Linked DNA regions of Oryzias latipes. The protein of the gene in region 1 interacts with the protein of each later gene in a biochemical or structural test. Links are inferred from orthologs where the notes say so. Each region holds a gene or a part of one and is shown in the gene's direction. Other genes may lie near its edges.

What was found. The genes of interacting proteins can lie anywhere in the genome.
Region 2: the proteins of klhl12 (region 1) and pdcd6 form a complex in vitro, tested with the Homo sapiens proteins (2 studies listed by BioGRID). The link is inferred for Oryzias latipes from reciprocal best matches to the Homo sapiens genes KLHL12 and PDCD6.

Annotation. Positions count from the first base shown.
Region 1 is NC_019865.2:21,836,292-21,839,854, reverse strand, and holds part of klhl12 (kelch-like protein 12), read left to right. Parts: intron 1-1,191; coding exon 1,192-1,409; intron 1,410-3,563. UniProt on the Homo sapiens protein: Substrate-specific adapter of a BCR (BTB-CUL3-RBX1) E3 ubiquitin ligase complex that acts as a negative regulator of Wnt signaling pathway and ER-Golgi transport.
Region 2 is NC_019878.2:12,576,431-12,580,757, forward strand, and holds the start of pdcd6 (programmed cell death protein 6), read left to right. Parts: upstream 1-1,465; 5' UTR 1,466-1,611; coding exon 1,612-1,694; intron 1,695-4,327. UniProt on the Homo sapiens protein: Calcium sensor that plays a key role in processes such as endoplasmic reticulum (ER)-Golgi vesicular transport, endosomal biogenesis or membrane repair.

The DNA of each region.
Region 1 (3,563 bases):
TGACAAGATTATTTTTTTGTTATTTATTGAAAAAACAAACATCTTTTATAGTCTTTAGAAGTTTAAATGTTAGTTAAATGCCAAAAACAAGCGACTAAAAATGAAATCCCAGTGAAAAAGAAAAAGAAAAATGATTTGCAGGAACCCAGAAGAACAATTGCAAGGTCTAGCCTTACCAAAGAACACATTTGTACCTATAGTTCTGTCATTTTAAGGAACATTTGAATGTTTTTGAAACTTTTGCAGCTCCACATATAGTTTATACCCTTCTATAACTTTGTTGTGTCTATGGAGCAGAAAGTAGCCGCTGTTAAAAAAAAAAGAAAAAGAAAAAGCAGCTTTTACATCTTGAAATTCTATTTTCCTGAAGCTCACATTTTAATTTTGGATTTTTACGTTTTAATCAATTGACATTAACATGAATTTAATTAAACATCAGTACAATGTTCCCTCGTTTATCACAAGACTTGCATTGTAATAATAGCCCACAATCGACAACATTAGTCTTTTTCTTACAATCGTTATAGATTGTCACTACACACTTTCTTCACTTTTCTCAGACAACGTGAACATTTTCACAATTGTGTCTCTTGTTTAAACTCTCAAAATTCAGATCTTTATAGAAAAATTAGTCCAGGATTATAAAATTATCTGATTGCCATTGAAGATTTATGTGAAGAAAGCAGGACACAATTTGCTCTTTAAAAAAATGAATACATAAAAAGACACTCAAACATGCACCAAAACATTCTGCCAAGCAGAGACACAAAGATGAACAATATAGCAAGGAACACTGTACTGACCAAAGAAACATTGTTTCTCTGTTTTTTGTCTTGTTTTTAAATGTCCTGACTGACCAAAGTAACTAAAAATGCATCATATGTGAGCAGGCTTTCATACCTGTGGAGTCTGCATCACCATTACTTTTTTGGTTGTCTGCAACGTCTGATTGTGCGCAAAAGTCACATTTAAGATTCTTTATTTTGCTTTTAAAAGGTGTAGTTAGTTGTCTTTGTCTTCTAATATAAAGTCATTAGGAGTCTGTTAAAGTTATTTAGTCTTATTGTCTTTTCACAAATTGTCAGACATGCGAAATAAACAGTGTAAATCCTGTTTTGTTGTGTTTGTTTTCCTTGAAATGATACTTAAAGTGAATTTGTCAACTGTGCTTGGCTCTTTTTCTTCCCTCAGGAGTGAAAAGGGCCTGTTGTGACTTTCTGGAGAGCCAGCTGGATCCCTCCAACTGTCTGGGTATTCGAGATTTTGCTGAAACCCACAACTGCCTCGACCTGATGCAGGCGGCTGAGCTCTTCTCACAGAAGCATTTCTCTGAGGTGGTTCAACACGAGGAGTTTATGCTGCTGAGTCAGACAGAAGTTGAAAAGCTCATAAAATGTGACGAAATCCAGGTAAGGAAAGCAAATGTCTGCAGCCTTGTGCCGTCTTTTTAAATTTACTATTTACTTTTTTACTCTTAGATGTTCCGAAACATTTCGGCGAAAGAGTGCCACAAACGGCCCATTTCACCTCAATCGTCTGCACCACTGAAGAAGTCATTATTGTAATTACGTTTCCTCAGGACTGGCTTAGCTTGGCGTGAATTTAGCTCGTCTTTCACAGTTTTCTATTGTCTGTCAACACCTAAATAAGACAAGAGTAAAGCGAGCACAAACCTGCAGTAAACTCATGGAGGTCACCCCCCCCCCCTCCGTTTTTTAACTGGTCTGACAGTGAAATTGTAGAGAAGTGAACCTGATTTAAGTTTGCCTTTGTACTCAGAAAATTCCTGTTTTCCAAACCCCATGCATTGCTTTGTGAAAACACTGCTTATTATCACCCGATGATTTATAGAGCGTCATTTGTGTCAAATTGTTCGTCCTGTCATTTCTGTTGTTTTAGAAACTAGACTGCTGATTCAAAAACAGTCGCACATAATTTGCTGTGATCTGAGGTTTTTCTTTTATGTTCAAAACGTAAAGACCCACCATTTGTTTATGCCGATTATGTTTTTCAAAGTGTACATAGAAATCCCTTTATTCTTTCTTAAGTTACTGAAAGGCTGACAATAGTACAAAAGTCAGGAAATAGTCCATTTTAAATATGACAATAGCACCACAACTGTTGACCAGAAACATCTAACTTTAGTGGACTACAGGCAGAATAGCTTGATGTGTTGCAATAAAGTTTGGCATCGTTCTGCCCTAAAAAAAAAAAGTTTAATAAGTAAAAAAAATAAAAAAAAGTTTAAAAAAAAGAAATAGCTTCCAGGAGAACTTTTTCGAAAATTATTTACAAAAATGATCCCCTATAATGTAAATTTGAAACATTATTATTAAATATGTCATATGCAGTTTTAAGGCTATTTAATCTATTTAAACATATTCTTTTTTTCTGATTTGACTGTTTAATTGGCTTCTTTAAAGACCCAGAAGGTTTCCTAGAGGTCTTTTAATTATGATGATGTCGTTTTTACCCCAAATCTAACAGTCCGTGTCGTTTTCTAGAATATAGTTTCTGCAGAAGTTAATCAGAAATTCACCTGTGAGATGCTGGCGGGACTGTGGGAGCGCAGGAACCCCACACTATTCCCCTTCCCCACTAACTCCCAACTTAACATCAGTGGTGCAACAGAAACGTGAGCAATATAAAGAAAAACTCAGAAATGCAATTTCAAGCTTAATTTTCTTTGTCTATGTGCTCCAACATCAGAAAAATGCCACAAGAACATGTTAAAAACAACAAAAACACAATTTTCGTTGAAGAGCGTCTTAAAACACAAACTCTAGTCTTTTAGGGCTGCTGTCCAATGTGGTTTTTCATTTATTCTGCCCCTGCAACTTTATTTTAGCAAAATGCACCAGATCCAGGTAATCAGCAGCAAGTAGGATAGTAATATCTGAATAAATACTTTATAATGAAAAAAACTTAGGGGAAACATTGCAGATCCTAAATGTCCACCACAACTAACATCGTTTTCAGAAAAATTGGTGAAAAGCTACCTCAAAGTCAGTGACCCGTTGATCTTAGTTGTTATCTTTACACAATGCTTGTGAACTCGCTCAAAAATCGTGAAATCGTGACAGGCCTGCTTTACGCCAGGCGGTCCTTCTCCCTTGGCACATTTGTTTAACTTGTGTTTTCTTCAGCTTCCAAAAGAAGTCTCAATTATATAAAAAAAATCATTTAATATGTGAAAATCAAAAGCTACTTCTTTTAGTGCTGTCATTAAACTCAAAATGGTTCATATTGTTGATCAGAATTTTATCCAAAAATCCCTTTTCATCCCTCTGCTAGCACTGTCTCTAGAGCCTAAAATGACCATAATCCAAAGTTTGGATCACAACCGTTGCGTTTTCTTCTGAGGAAAACGACAAAGTCTTGTGCAATCCTACAATCAAAGTAATGCTGCTGTTGGATTCAGTGGGTCTTGTAATCCCTTCCCTTAGGTTTGCACTCGCATGCGTGTTAGTACATGTGGTTGTGCCTTTAGCAGGGAAAAGCTCTGTTGTTGAATTTATTTAGAGAGATTTCTGTGACTTGTGTTTTTTGTTCCATAAAAGCCC
Region 2 (4,327 bases), on another chromosome or scaffold:
GAATTGGATTCTGGTTAAACGTAAACATCTGTGATGCGTTCACAATAATCGGAAAACTGAGAATTATTAGTTTTTCGGGGTTCCTGTGTTTAAGATCAGACGCACAAACAATAGACAATGAACAAAGACGTTAACTCTTTCTACAGCAGTGAGAATTGAATTACCTGTGCATTATTTCGATTTAATGAAAGCTTCATCACAGCATGACAGTTCTGAAGACCCATTCCAATGAAAAAAAAAGTAAATTTAAATTGCATTTCTGAGTATTTCTATTCAAATCGTTGTGAATCATGTGCAGACAAAAAATGGAAAAAACTGGTAGCAGTGACTCAGGTGCCACAATTGGTAAACAAGACGCTTCCTGCTCTACTTCATTCCGATGCATCCACTTGCAGATAAAAAGGATCCATTTAATCTACATCTTCATTTTCCACGATCAAGCGGGCATCTGACTCAAAACTGTACGGGTGGATAGATCCAATATTGCACACCATTTTTGTTAATGTTATGTAGGGTTGTAAGGGGCTGTAAACTAGTGGGAGCGAGTGTAAACAAAAGGATGATGGGAAATGAGGGAAGGCTTACTGCACGCCAGTAGTCCGGCCCAAATTTCTGATGAACTCCTAACGCTCTGCAGAATCTGTCCTGGATAACAACACATTTTTTTTTAATTTAGGCTTAAAAACGTCATAATCATAATTAAAGGACCATTGGAAACACTTTAAAAATAAGTCAAAAAATGATCAGAGTCGCATTTTAATTATGTGCTCAATTTCCAAACAATTAAATGTGGAGCTGCTTACACTACTAAAATATATCAGATTGTGGTTAAAATTTAATAAAATGATTGTATTTCTCAGAATTTGAAAAATGTATTGCATTTCTGAGTGAAGAGTGACTGCAAAACACTATTTAGTCCTACAGTTAAATGGTATGAAATTTGGTTGATTTCTTTGTATTTTCTAAAACAAAAAAGCAGTTAAATAAATAAACTTAAAAGGGATAAAGTGCTCAAAAAAGGAGTGGTTAAAAAATAAATCTCACAAATGTCTTACCCCAAATCTTACTATATTGAATGCATGCATTAACACATTAAACCTATACTCATTATTCATATCCCCACAAAAGAATTAAAGAAAAACGGTACCAAAACAACGTCACAGAGTTATGACTGTCTGGACATTGTTCCATTGGGATCCTCATTTTTGTCTTGTAAACTTTTCCAAAATTTTCAGTTTGTATTTTATTTTAAAACCTGTAAACTTTATAGTAATAATGATAAAAATAATAATAATAATGTACTAAATTGGCTAATAAAAAAGCAGCATGACTTTAAGTTCTTTGTCGGGTGTGTCAGAGTTTCTCCTGCGCAATGGAATTATTGATTCACAGCTTTTACATGGGTTCCTTCCAATTTGAGAGTTGTGACGTCACTTTCCCCAGAGTCCTGGTGAATGGTTGGCCACGCCTCTGTGCGCGAGGATCCAGCCAGTCAACGTCGATTGGTGGAGTCAGATTGAAGCCGCAGAAAAGGGAAACTACAGCAGCGGAGGAGCAGCTAGAAACAGCCCCGCACAACCTTTATAACTGAACGTTTCCTTAAGAAGAAAAATGGCGTACCACAGTCCTTACCGAGCCCCCCCGCACATTAACGCTCCTCCGGACCAGAGCTTCCTGTGGAATATCTTCCAGAGGTGAGTCAGTGGGGAGAAGGCGGCTTGTTTCGCCTGAAAACTGCTGCCGTTCGTTCGTAGCGGGAGGAAGAAGATAGAGGGGCTGGGTCGGGTGGTGACACTAAATATTTCATTGGCAGCTGTCCCCCCCCCCCCCCCCCACACACACACACACACACATTTTCTTTGCGTTAATGTTGTCGTTGAAGGCGAAGCTCCGCAGTGAATGAAGTGTTTGAGGGCTAGCTCTTAGCCAAACCTCTACTCTACAGATAAAACAACGCGTACCAGAGCCACTCCGGCTGTCACACTTTGGGCTCATTCACTTCTAACCGTGTACTTCTGCAGGCGCGAGGCCGTAGCAGTTAGTTTAAAAACCTAACTTCAAAGACCTCCACAAGTCCTTGAAGTACACTGCTGACATCATTACACACTTGTGTTCAGAGTTGGCTCATTCATGCTAATTAAACGTTGTGCACACCTGTGTACGGTTACATCCCAGTGATACAAGGAGAAATGAGGAAACAGGACATTTAAAGCCATGTGCCAGCTGCCATAGTAGGTACAGAGGGAGAAATGTTGAAATACTTGTACTGCTGGTGCTAATAAGCTATAGTGTTATGTAATACTGCAGAGGATTTGTTTCTTTTAGTGTTGGAATGCTGCGGGCATCTTGAGGCTTGAGCCAGACCCCTCACCAAAGACTTCTGTGTGGTGCATGACCTGAGGGAAGGCGGGCTGCATGTACTCATGTTGTCCCCTGTGTCTTCCTTCACTCGCATCCGCTGTCACGGAAGCGAGCAGAAGCATCTTATGATTCTCATGACTTAATAGAGTCAGCATCGGAGCAAAGGTCACTTCCAGCAAGCCCGACTGTCATGAAGAGCGTCACACACGAGCTGCCTCGCCTGGTTCCCCCTTTGGCTGAACGCGTGGCAGAGAATCCCGTTTGTCATGTGACCGCAGTCAGCAGAGCAGCAATGAAACATGAGGCCTCTCAGTGGGGGGGTTTCAGACACACTCCCTACAGATTTTCACTGTAGCCAGATTGGCATATGGCTGCTGTGGGAAATCAGTTCACTCACTTGCTACTATTTTGAATCCAGAAGTCTCCACAGGAGAAAGGTATGGGGAGTTTTTGAAGTGTAGTTAGGGTACCATATTTTTCAGACTATAAGTTGCTCCAGAGTATAAGTCACAGCAGCCAAAAGAAAGTATAATAAATTAGAAAAAAATCATATATAAGCATTGACTGTATAAGAGAACTGGACTGAGTGACCCCTCCTCCCTTGCATTCTAAATAGGATGTACATGTTGGTCCTAAAATCCTATACAGTTCTATAGAGAAAAAAACAACAATTACTCAGTCATTATATTTGTCAGAATAACCATTCTTGTTCTACCTTTTTTTTTAACATGTTATTGCTAATTCAAATTTATTTTCCATGATATTTTTTCTGTAGCGCAAATGATCCAAGTTGCCCAATCAGATGCCTCAATAAAAGTAGATGGCGTCACGTCGAATGTTCGAAGCATTTGATGTCATATTCTCTCGATCTCGCTTACAGTGGAAGGGGTGTGGCCTTCCAACAGTCTTATTCCTGATTGGAGAGTGTGGTTACTATAGAAATGTAGACTCAGAAAGACTTGGACCAATCACTACTTAAGCCCGCTTAAGTAATTTCCTATAGTTCGCGTCACAATCGCTCAGTCCAGTTCTCATATGCAGTCAATGTATGTAAGTCGCACTGAAGTATATGAAGGAGAAATTAAGAAATTGTGGTTTGTGCCCAGTCGGATTTATATGACACTGTCTTGCTGTAAAAAAGAAAAAAAAACCTGGAACAAGATTTGTGAAATTTGCTACGCTTCAACATTTTAGAAACGGTAGAAAAAGAAGAGGACACCCCCCCCCTCCACCATGGACATGCATTTAAGAACGCTTGTCAAATGCTGTAGTGTGCGTATCTTAAGATTAAGCGGCGCTGCTTATTCTGAGTTTTTGTCAGTAGTAATTACAGATACACCTACAAACAGACCCCGTAGTGGTTGCTGCTATTTATTTTTTGAAAAAATCACATAAGTCGCACCTGCGTATATGTCTTAACCCTGACCAAACTATGCAAACAAAAAAACACGACTCATACTATGAATAGTATGGTAAATGAGAGCTGTTGACCATTAACCTTGCTTCTTAATGTTTTTGTTCCATGACATAATGCTGAATGAGTCACTATTTCTTTCTTTTGTCTGTTTTCTTCACTGTCACAGTGACATTATAAATGTTGGCTCCCAGCCCTGTTACTAAATCACACATTAACACTTTTTTATATTTAATCTTAATTTATTCCAGTTGTGTTGTTTTTTTTTTAGCCACAGCGAAGGTCTGGCTTTTGGATTTTCTACGTGGAAAATGGAGCGAGCCGTGTTCCCCAAGCTCCAGTTTCTCTGTAGGAAAAAGTGGAACATGGGAAAATCTGAATCAGGTTTTGATATTGTCCTGCTGCACTACATGGATGTTTGGTCATTTAACAACATGAAGATGGAAACACCAGATGGTTTTTGCCCTGCAGCAAAGAGGAATGTTAATGATAGTTTTCTTTTACTTTTGAGAGGACTTGGCCTGAGGCAAAGAGAGTTACCAGAAAGAAAAG